3 linked regions of the Ovis aries genome follow. The protein of the gene in region 2 interacts with the protein of the main gene of each other region in a biochemical or structural test. Links are inferred from orthologs where the notes say so. Each region holds a gene or a part of one and is shown on either strand. Other genes may lie near its edges.

Region 1 (3,726 bases), about 16 Mb from region 2:
GCCACTGAATTACTCACTTTCAAATGGCTAATGTTATGTTACCTTCAATAAAAAAAGAGAAAAAGACTATTTTTCCAATTATGTCTGTCACTAAAAGACAAAGGCTGAAGAAGTGTTTCAGGTTAAAAGAGACATGAAAGATATGACACGTACAAGCAGTATGTAATCCTAGACTAAAGGGAAAATTTTCTTTTAAAAAACATTCTCAGGTCAATTGACAAAATCAGAACGAAACAGATTTTTAACAGTATTCTACCAGTATCAGACTGACTGAGGTTGCTATCCATAATGTGGTCATGAAAGAGAATACCCTTATTCCTAGGAAATACTCACTGAAGGGTTATAAAGCCATGAGGTACGCAACTTATTCTCATAAGGTTAAAAGGTTAGATGTGCCTATACATATACACGTATATGTAAAAAATATATACATGTATGTGTACATATGAGTGTATGAGAACATACGCGATAAAACCGGGGCGTAAATGTCAATGGGTGAATATAAATGTAATCAACTACTTTGGCCAGTTTAAGTTCATAATTATCAGCAGTTTTTTTTAAAAAAAGCGTGTACCTTCTAAAAATGCTCCATATTACCTAAAACCACTCTGAAACTCTCAAAATTCACTAGTCTAACATTATGTAACAGGTTTTAAAAATGCTGTCTTCTCTATATGTCAGCTGGCAGTACTCACATTGATAAGCTCCAGATCACACTGGCCACGCTCATAAGCAACACAGGCCAGATGCGGATCTCTCTTCTCACAATACTTTCCAACAACACGACTGTCATAGTAAGGATTTTCCCGAAGAAACCGCTCTGGATTGTTATTACTGTCTATGTAGATTTTGGCTAATGCATTATGAGTAGCAGGCTCTTCACAGCCCTCATGAATTCTGGCCTCCAGCCAAGGCAGAAGCAGTTTCAATCTAGTAAAAAAATAAAACAAGAAAAGAAACACACAAAAAAACCCACATATACATATACTATATTATAAATAACACACTCTTGACATGCTATGTACCTTATGGTCTATAAAGTGCTTTCCCATACCCTATTTTGAATTCTCAACATTTCTATCAGAAACTGAGAAATTAGGACTCAGAGATGGTTAAAGGATTTGTCCAATGTTACACAGAAGGTATATAAGACTGTCCTTCATACTCTCCCAGACCTATCTGCTACATTATCTAGACAGGATATGGAGAGAAGAGACTACAGATTCACAGATTATTCTTTTTCATATGGGGCAAATGGCTGGACCTCTGAGTAATATTGCTTAGGAGTAGGACAGAGATGTGGTATGAGAAAACAAGCCACATTATCTGCGGTTCCTTTTAATTTTACCACAATTACCATGCAACATTACATACAGCAAAAAGAAGCAGTAACGTAAGTAAACACATAACTGGGAACAAAATCTGGTAAAATTCTAGCAGTCATAAAATCAATCACTCCACCAAGGGCCATGGTTTTGCTAAGTTATAGCTTATTTTCCAATGGTTCAGATGACCAACACTCTTACCATGGTTTAAATAACATGTTAAATAGTTACAAGAAATCCACGGAAAGAGGCGCCTGGTAGGCTATAGTCCATGGTGTCACAGAAGAGTTGGATACGACTTAGCAACTATACAATAATCACTTTAAATCAGTCTCAAGCTTTAAAAAAATAAAACTCAGTATTATATTCTACATCTCCATTGTCCTTAAGTGCAGAATTTTTCAAACATTTTCTGAAACATTTAGCTTGAAACATTTAGATATAAATTATGTTATAAATTTCCATTAGTAGAACACTTGTACCAACTCAGGTTAAAATTAAACCCTATTCTTGAGATGGTTTCATTGCTAGAGGAACTTCCTACTTAACCTCATTACTTCTCACTAACCTCATTTACTATGTCAGCACTTTGTGAACACACAATGTCCTGGCTAAAAAAAAGACTTCATGATCTAACTATCAGAAGCACTCATATTATGTTCTCTTCTATTGGAAATTCCTAACTCATATTATATCAAGGTTCAACTTAAAAATAAGTTTAACTCAGAGTTATACAGGGAATGTTTTTCTCTTGTCATACTTGATTATTTACCAGAGAGTAATTAGTTACTAGGTATCATACCTAAAAGGAGGCTTTTTACATAGTTTACATTAAAAACACATAGCTGTGTGGTTTGACTTAATGTAATTATAAACATGCAAAAAGAAGGTGAACACTCATTACTAGAGAAATGCAAATCAAAACCATAGCGAGACATCATCTCACATTTATAAGAATGGCCGCCATCAAAAAGTCTACAAACAACGAATGCTGGACAGGGTGTGGAGAAAAGGGAACCCTCTTACACTGCTGGTAGGAATGCCAAGTGGTACAGCCACTACAGAGAACAGTGTGGCGATTCATTAAAAAAGTGGAAACAGAACTGCCGTATGACCCAGCCATCCCACTGGTGGGCATACACATCAAGGAAACCAGAACTGAAAGAGACACGTGTACCCCAATGTTCACTGCAGCACTGTTTACCACAGCTAGGACATGGAAGCCACCTAGATGTCCATACGCAGATGAATGGATAAGGAAGCTGTGGTACATATGCACAATGGAATACTACTCAGCTCTAAAAAAGAATTCATCTGAGTCAGTTCTAAGGAGGTAGATGAAACTGGAGCCTATCATACAGAGTGAAGTAAGTCAGAAAGAGAAATACCAATACAGTAAAGACGGTAAAGATGCTATATGCAAGGTGGCAAAAGAGACACAAGATGTAAGGAACAGGCTTTTGGACTCTGTGGGAAAATGCAAGGGTGGGAAGACTTGAGAGAAAAGCACTGAAGCATGTGTATTACTGTATGTAAAACAGATGACCAGTGCAAGTTCAAGGCGTGAAGCAGGGCACTCAAAGCTGATGCTCTGGGACAACCCAGAGGGATAAGGTGGGGAGGGAGTTGGGAGGGGGGTTCAGGAAGGGGACTCACATGTGCACCCATGGGTGATTCATGTCGATGTATGGCAAAAACCACCACAGTATTGTAAAGAAATTATCCTCCAATTAAAATTAATTAATCAAAAAAAGGTGAATGACTAGATTAACAGATATTCTATATGACAGCCGTATACAGCAAGTTACAGCTAGCTTATCACTTCTAAATTAGGCATCTCTAGGGAATTAAGATCCATGAGTACTGAGTAGTTTTAGGCAACGGACAGGTTATACTTCTATTTAATACAATGCTAGGAGAGACTAATAATTTATCCTACTTGTGAATATTAAAATAGTACTACACCTGTTTCTTTTTTCAACTTCAGCAACAAGCTCATCAGTAGAGAATTGACCTCTTACAACAAGAATCAAATTTTTAATGACATCTTCAGAGCAATCAACATCAAGTAATCCCCCAATAACCACCGGCAGTCGACTTGGATTCACCTATGGTTTTAAAAAAAAAAAAGAATGGCATTATGTTACCAAGAAACAAAACTGAAAAGAGTTCTTAAAAAAAAAAAAGCAAAAAGCAAGAAAAACGCATTTTCCTCTTCAACCTGTTTTAAAAGTCAGTAATAAACAGATTCTAAATTTGACACTAGACAAAGGAATTTAGTAGGAAGTCTGCCTTATTACTCCTAAGGAGAAATAAGTCCAAAGAAGCGAAAGGAACAGAATGACTGAAAATATTATCTGGTAAAAAGGCCTCCATCGTAGCAAAACTGCCTTCTGGAGTT
Region 2 (4,300 bases):
ATTCTATTGTTCATCTTCTCTCCTTGATTAGTTTCAGTCTATGACAGTGTGCCCCACTCCCTTCACCCTCCACACTGCCCAGAATTGTCTTCCTAAAGGAGAAGTCTCATCATGCCACTCCACTCCTTGCCTTAAAGAGCAGATCCACTACTGGATCCACGTGTCCTCCTCCAGGGGAGGCTCCTGGCTCATTTCTTTAGCTGCTGAGCTGCTCCTGCTCAGTCATGTCCGAGTCTTTTACGATCTCATGGACTGTAGCCTGCCAGGCTCCTCTGTCCATGGGATTTTCCAGGCAAGAATACCAGAGTGGGTTGTCATTTCCTACTCCAGGGGATCTTCCCGACACAGGGATCGAACCCACATCTCCTACATTGGTAAGTGGATTCTTTACCACTCCATCACCTGGGAAGCCTCATTCCTTTACCTGCTATACAAAATCCTTCACACCCTGTTCCAGTCATCCTCTTCAGCCTTCTCTCTCCTGCCCTCTACTCCCACAAACACCTCATTATAGGATGTGCCTTGCTTTTCTCTGTCTTTGGAATACCCTTTCTTAACTTCTGCCCACACTTCAGAAAGATTATCCTCAAACGTGCCCTCCTCTGGACAGCCTGCTCTGCCTCCATCCCTCCCCAGCCAAGCTCTGGGAGTCACTTTGTCTTCTGAGTCATACCTCTATTATAGCATTCCTGGAATCATAATATCTCTTCATATGTCTCCTCAACCATACGAGGAAGGCAGGGGTGATGTTAATTCATGTCTGAGTTCCCACTGCCTAGTATAGTGATTAGCACAAAATAGACATGGATAGATGTATGGACGGATGTATGCATGAATGGATGTTAACTTCGATGAATGGATGGAGAAGAGTAGTAAGAGAATTTAGAAGTAACCCTGCGAAGATCAAAGAGAGACACCAGAGGGAGCTGACACACCACAATAAAGAAGTGGGAGGGAGGGCCAAAGACGGCTACAGGCTCCGGGGTGAGCGGCGCGCAATAGGCGAGCATCTCGCAACTGGAACCGCTCACCACCTGTGCATCCCCTTATCCTCCTTCCTAGACTGTGTTCGAGCTCACCCACTGCCCCCACCACCCCCGTAGCCTCCAACGCCACTGAGAAAGCAAACAAAGGGGAGGAAACCCCTGCAGGGTGCTTGATGCAGGGAGCCAATCAGAATGCTTTAATCTCCTGGAAGGCGGGCGCCTCCTTTTGAGGGGGCCCAGTTAGTTCCTAAACGGGTGCGGAGGGGCGGAGAGATGGGCGGGAGTAGCAGGGTGTAGAGACCGCGCGCGGGGAGGGATCCCTCCGCAGGGGTCGGGGTGGAGGGCGGAGGGGGCGGGCGGAGCCAATCACCGCGCGTGCCTGTAAGGAGAGGGAGGGCAGTGCCGTGGCGCGCGCAATCCGGCTGACGCATCTGGACTCCGTTCTCCAGATCCAAGTTGGGAGGGGGGAAGGAGAGGCGGGGGTAGTGGAGAGAGCGCGGGGGCGCGCGTGCGCAGTGGCGCGGGGAGGAGCAGGGACCTGGCAGCGGGCTAGGAGGCTGTGAGCTATCCGCGAACCGGGCGGGCGGCGGGCGCGCGCACCATGGGGGAGAAACCCGGGACCAGGTAAGAGAGGTGGGGCCATTCGGCGGGACGTGGACGGCGGCACCGGGCGGGTGCCGGGACGGTCCTCAGACAGGAACACCAGGGAGAAAATTCGGGGGCCGGACGCCTGGGTCCCTAGGGGACAGCCATTCGGGGCCGCACGCCTAGGTCCTCGAGGATAATGAGGGGAAGGCATGCCACAGTCCCTGCAGAAAGCGAGGGCTGAAGATCAAGAAACCTGCATCGGGCTTCTCGCAGAGATGTAGGGGGCCGGACGACTGGGTTCTCCGGTGCAGCCTGCGTTGCAGGGGCGGAGGAAGGAGCAGGTGGCCGGCCCGGAGGGGACGGGTGTGGGCAGACTAGATGCCAGGGGCGGGATCCCCCGAAGACTCGTGCCCAGCCACTTGAAAGCCTCCTATCCAGTACCCCACAGGCAGTCAGACTGCCCCCACCGGCCCCAAGGGCCGGGTGGCTCTGCTTCCAAACTTCTGCTTTCCCCCGGGTTGCTAGGAGCAACAGCTTCATTTTGGGGGAGCAAAGAGTGCTTGACGACCCTCCCCAATTCTGGGCCTTATCCCTCTTCCCGTGAGTGAGGGGAGGCTGTATCTGCCCAGGGCACGCCATCCACTCCCCGGATGTTTTCTGTGCAATCGAGGCTCCTTCCTTCCACTGACACCCCGAGTTCTCTTTTTTGGTCTCTAGCAAAATCCACTTCCTGTTGTGACCCAACACCTCCGGGGGTGAATGCCTGAGTCTCTGGGGAGCAGGAGCAAAAGAGGGAAAAGATTAGGGCTATTTGCTTCTCTCCAGAGAGGATCAGGAATGGGGGCCTGGTTCTGAGCTGTCACTTGTTCTGCAAAACATTTTACCAGCCCCACAGCTCCCCACCCATAGAATAGGAAATCACAGGTTCCCGAACACCCAGTCGATTGATACTGGAGAGGTGATCAGAAGGAGGACTGGTGTCCTGGATTAGGGGTTAAACACAGCAAAAGGGGAAGTCGCTGACTTGAGGGAGGCCCCAGATTTCCGTTATGTGGTTCAGGGAGGGGGACGGATGGACCACACAGGGACTGCTGACTTGGCACAATTCCTCCCACCTCCATCAAATTCTGGGCCACAGGAAATGGAGAGAATAGCAGGAAGTGTGAAGGGGCATCTGCTTCTGCTGCCCCCTCACCCACTCGGCACCTCTCAGGTCACCCCAAAACTCCGCCTTCTTGGCCAGCCTCACTATACACATGCTTGCTCCTCCCTAGCAGGCAGGAGGCTGGCTGGGTTAGGATCCAAAGGGCAGGTGCCCTGCAGCTGCTTCAGGGCAATTACTCCAGAACCACACTCCAGTTGTCCAACAGACTGTGGCTGTCCCAACCCTCTGCCAAGGACTCCTAATAGGAAGAAACACTGGGACAGAGAGGAAAACCAGAAGCAAAGGGGAGGGAGAGCTGAAGGCTGCCACAGCAGTCAGCCCCCAGGTGGGGACAAGAGATAGGGTGCTTATCCTAGTTCCCACCATACCAGTGTCTGCCCTCCTTTCCTCGATGGGGGTACCTGGGGGCCTCTGTACCCTATGCCTTGTGGTCTTTGGATAGCTTGGCCTTCTGGGAAGAAGGGGCATGTGACTTTGTTACAGTGGATGGGCCAGGTGGCAGGATTTCAGTTTCTACTACCTGGGGACCCTTCCTGGGTATCACTGCTGAGGCAGAGTGGATTGGTAGGAGTAAGGTGGGGCAGCAAAGAACAGGCCCACAAGTGGCCAGGGCACAGGGGTTGCCAGACATCTCCCTATCCTCCCAGCAGTGGGTGGAGTCCAGGCTTAGACCATTTCAGCAACCAGAAAGCGGAATCTCCTTCACTCCAACAAACATAATGCCAAGAACAGAGGCAGGATAGTACAATCATTTAGTGATGAAGAGCCAGAGTACCTCTGTACCCGAATTCCACCATTTACACTCTCCGTGACCTCAGGCAAAATACTTGACCTCTCCTGGGCTTCAGTTTCCTCACCTGTAAAATAGGAATATTAGGACCTCCATCACTGGGTTGCTGAGAGCATTAAATGCAGTCACACACCTGAAACACTTGGCACACTACAGGGCATGAACCATACACCCATAAATGTTAGGAAGCATCACGGCGTCTGGCTTATGGCTGCAACTATGCTGGGGATGCCTGAATCAGTAAGGCCTCTGTTGCTCACAGTCTAGTGAAATACATGATACACAGCTAACTGCACATTATCACACTACATGTGTGCTAAGTCCAGTTCTTTGTGACCCCATGGACTGCAGCCCACCTGGCTCCTCTGTCCATGGGATTCTCCAGGCAAGAATACTGGAATGGGTTGCCATGCCCTCCTCCAGGGGATCTTCCCGGCCCAGGGATCGAACCCTTGTCTCTTACATCTCCTGCATTGGCAGGCGGGTTCTTGACCACTAGCACCACTTGGGAAGCCCTATCACACTACAGGTAAAGCATAAACAAGGTGTGACAGAAACCCCAAAAAAGGGAGTGACTAGAGTGGGGCTGGATCTACTTTCTAAAGGAGGTGACATCTGAGCTGGGCCTTGAAAGACAAATAACATTTTAAGCTGCTGAGATCAGAGACAGGGACAGTTGGAGGTTAATGGAGAGTAGGGTCACACTTAGAAACCTCCCATAATAGAAACCAATTTAGAGCCACTGCTCTTTCCAGTATTCCAGCTCTTGTG
Region 3 (3,726 bases), on a different chromosome or scaffold from region 2:
CCCAGAAGGCCCATCTCAAATAACACTGCGCCCATCTCAAATAACACTGTTTTATTCACTCAACAAAATTCAGACTGCGTATTGTATGCTGAAGCAAGGTGCTGGCACCTCAAAATAGTGAAGGATTGGATTTAAACACTACCGAGAAATTCAGACTAATTCAGATTCACAGTCTTTTGTACTGGCTGAATTTTCTCTTTTCTCAATCTCAGAGCAGATTTAACACACTTCAAATATTGTATTGTCTAGTACTATAGGAGTTTGTATCAGTTATTTCAAGATATTACTTATAATATTTATGTCGTCATGACAGATGCTGGCACTGTGGCAATATGGGCAAGCACTATTTAAGCTGCCTCCAAATTTAGCTTTTACGAATACATTTCATATTTAGTCCTACTAATATTTTAGCTCATTCACAACAGTTTAACCATAGATGAAAACTATTTTGTATTTCTTACCTTTTAGTTCATCTCTGGCAAAGAAGGCAGCAAGACAATCTTGCAAGGTTACTATTGGACCCCAAAACCAGCTAGGGACACATGAGACAACAAACCTGAAACATCATTGACAGAAAAAAGAAAGGAAATGTTCTGCCAGTACAGCAGAAACAGCGTTTTAACAATGAACTAGTAACAAAGAAAATGCACACATACCTCTTCACATACTCCATGAAAAAAGCTATCCACCCTTGTGGAGCATATGCTTCGCCACATGATCCTGCTTTGACTATAGATGTTGGATGACTTGATGAATGCAGCTTAGCAAGGTCTTCCTTGCCAGGAATCGGCAAGGACAGATCTTGAAAGGTCTCGAGGGTTACAGACACCTAAAATTGTTTTGTGTTTTAAGAATGGGATGAAAATAATCCAGCACAAACACCTGAGGACAGATTTTAGACGGCAAAGATCCAAGCAAATTATAATAAGGAAAAAAACCAAAACACCAAACTGCTTTTTATAGTAGTAACAAAGCAAAAATAGTAACAACTAAAGCAAAACTGCTTTGTACCAAGAACTGTTCTAAATTTAATCTTCACACAAACTATAACTACTAACATCCCCATTAGTCGAGAACACAGTGGTAAATAGAAGTACCTCATACCCAGCCACTGTAGCTTGAGGTTCAAACTGTTTATCACTACTGCATTTATTTTTGAAAATGACCTCTAGTGATAGTTATTCAGTGTAGTTTAAAAAACAAGATGCAAAACCTAAACAGCTGAAAATATTTCAGGATAATTCTATTTAAATGACTGATACCAAAATAGACTATTGAAAACCCTTAGATTTGACTTAATTCTAACACAATAACAGAAAACCTTCTTGGGGTTATTTCTTAATTTTGAGATATGTCATTTTACATTTAATTATATTCATCACTATACTGAAGCAAAACCATTCTTAAAACCTCTAAGAAATTCAGGAATTTAGAGGTATTATTAAAAATCTCATGATGATATTAATTTATGCTCTTCTGTATACACCTGATACTATTTTTATTATCTGAATCCAATCTTAACATGAGAAAATATTTACAAATCATACAACCAAGTGAGATGATACATTCATAGCCTTGTACAAGTCAGTAACAACTGTTTCCTACTAATTTCATCAGCCTTGGGAGAATATGCATGTGTTTCAAATTCTGGTTCCTGAGCAACATACTCCTTTATTTGTGACCAGAGACGAAGAACGGAGTTAATTCTTCCTACTAATGTATGCCTGTTCAATGGCAAGTCAAGACCCATCCTTAAAAAAGTATGCTGCTTTACTTCCAAAAAACAAGTTCTACTCTTAGAATCAATTTATACTTATGCAAACACCTGAAATACATGTATAATCATCAACAGCAAAGAGAAGGAATTAAAACTACTCACACCATCTTGTCAGTTTTTTAAAAAGCATTTGAAAGAAATTTCCTGTGTATTATAATCCTCACATACTCACCCTGTCACAAGTGAGACACTGAACTGAACTAATGATTGTTCCATCAAATATGTCTGAAATAACACTTCGGTATTTCTTGTGCTGTTTTTTTCTCTTTGGAGATAATGCAGATTGAACTAGGATTGAAAAACAAGTACAGAATAATTTTTTCTTTTAGAAATCAAAATAGTTCCTTTACACTTTTTCTGAAACTATTAACAGCAAAATTACTCTGCTGAAAAAAATCTGTCAAAATACCATTCAAGAGCACTACCTAAAGAAAACACAAAAAACAACCAAAAATCCTCAAAGAGAAACTGTGATGAAATAGAAAGGGTTCAGTCTCCCCATCTTGACTTCAACCAAAACAGTTTTGCTTTTACTTATTTGTTGTTGCTTCCAAGTAAGGCTTTATTTGAAGAAAGGATTCTATTAAGTTTTTTAGAGGTCTTTATATATTCTAGATACAAGTCCTCTGTCAGCTATGTGATTTACAAATATTTTCTCCCAATCTTTTCATTCTCTTAATAATTTTGCCAAAAAAGATTTTAATTTTTTTTATTTATGGATCATGCTTTTTATGTCTTTGATGTCTTTAAATAATTCTAACACAAAGTCATAAAGACTCTTTAACTTCATGCAACATTAAGCATAAAACTAACATAAAACCCAATCATCCTACATCCAGGTGTTTATCCTGAACAAGTGACAATTCATGTTCATACAGAAACTAGTACATAAATATTTATTTGTAACTGCCAAATACTGGAAACAAATTCAAATATCCTTCAGTGAGTATATGCACTCACTGAGTTCAGTGTATTACACAGCATAGTCACACAATGAAATATTAAGTAACAAAAAAGGACTATTCAGACATGTAATGTGACTGTATCTCAAATGCATTAAGCTAAGTGAAAGCAGCCTATTTCAAAAGACTATGTTCTTTATGATTACATGTATATGACATTCTGGAAAAGGAAAAACAACAGGAATAAAGAACAGATAGGGCTGGGGCTTTGGGAGGGAATGGAATAGTACTATGGATGAAACAGTACTATGAGGGACTTCTTTGGGGAGCTGGAACTGTTCTACACTGTGTTTGTGGTGGTGGTTCTAACAATCTATGCATGCGCTGAAACTCAGAACCCTATGCCAAAAGAGTAAACTCTGTCATACATAAATTTGTGCCACACACACAAAAATATTTTAAATCATGGCTGTATAAAATGATGCTGTCAATTTTAAAAAGCCTGAATAATATTTCATAATTGACACTTTAAACTATCAAAGCAAAGGAACCTGAGTAACTGAAACTTCTACCTTTTTTGTGTGTGGGTGGCAATCCTGGCCACAAATTGCCTGATTTAGGAGGGCTTGCTGATAATCGTGGATTAACACCTTCATTTGATGGGAGGATCTGTGGTGTAGACAGGTCATTCAAATGGACATCAGTAATATATTCTGTAATATTTAAAATTTGTATTATTACCTTAAATAGTAAAATTATTCCACCTGTCAAAGAAAGCTTTTTTCATTTGAGATTTTGAACACAATTCACAGTAATAAATGTCAGGTGAAGTACACAACAGACATTATGCTTGCTAAGTGAGTAACAGTGATTTTCCCCCTAAGAGTTCAATTAATGTTCATAACACATTACTGTTGTAGGGAATACAGAAAGTGTGCAGTGGAACTATAAAGCGGAAGAGGACTGTATTTGTCCTAATTTAGTATTTAAAAAACTAAAGCAAATTGGGGCAGTTTTTAGAAAGCTTTAAAACCATATGGGAGAAAA

The links.
Region 1: the proteins of ARRB2 (region 2) and CLTC form a complex in vitro, tested with the Homo sapiens proteins (3 studies listed by BioGRID and IntAct, with this or other methods). The link is inferred for Ovis aries from reciprocal best matches to the Homo sapiens genes ARRB2 and CLTC.
Region 3: of the proteins of ARRB2 (region 2) and USP33, one has a biochemical effect on the other in vitro, tested with the Homo sapiens proteins (2 studies listed by BioGRID, with this or other methods). The link is inferred for Ovis aries from reciprocal best matches to the Homo sapiens genes ARRB2 and USP33.

The regions. Positions count from the first base shown.
Region 1 is NC_056064.1:10,332,025-10,335,750, reverse strand, and holds part of CLTC (clathrin heavy chain 1), read right to left. Parts: intron 3,434-3,726; coding exon 3,291-3,433; intron 931-3,290; coding exon 696-930; intron 1-695. UniProt on the Homo sapiens protein: Clathrin is the major protein of the polyhedral coat of coated pits and vesicles. Two different adapter protein complexes link the clathrin lattice either to the plasma membrane or to the trans-Golgi network.
Region 2 is NC_056064.1:26,521,472-26,525,771, reverse strand, and holds the start of ARRB2 (beta-arrestin-2), read left to right. Parts: upstream 1-1,500; 5' UTR 1,501-1,587; coding exon 1,588-1,610; exon of another isoform or gene 1,611-3,596; intron 3,597-4,300. UniProt on the Homo sapiens protein: Functions in regulating agonist-mediated G-protein coupled receptor (GPCR) signaling by mediating both receptor desensitization and resensitization processes.
Region 3 is NC_056054.1:54,179,591-54,183,316, forward strand, and holds part of USP33 (ubiquitin carboxyl-terminal hydrolase 33), read right to left. Parts: intron 3,393-3,726; coding exon 3,252-3,392; intron 2,066-3,251; coding exon 1,950-2,065; intron 830-1,949; coding exon 657-829; intron 557-656; coding exon 462-556; intron 1-461. UniProt on the Homo sapiens protein: Deubiquitinating enzyme involved in various processes such as centrosome duplication, cellular migration and beta-2 adrenergic receptor/ADRB2 recycling.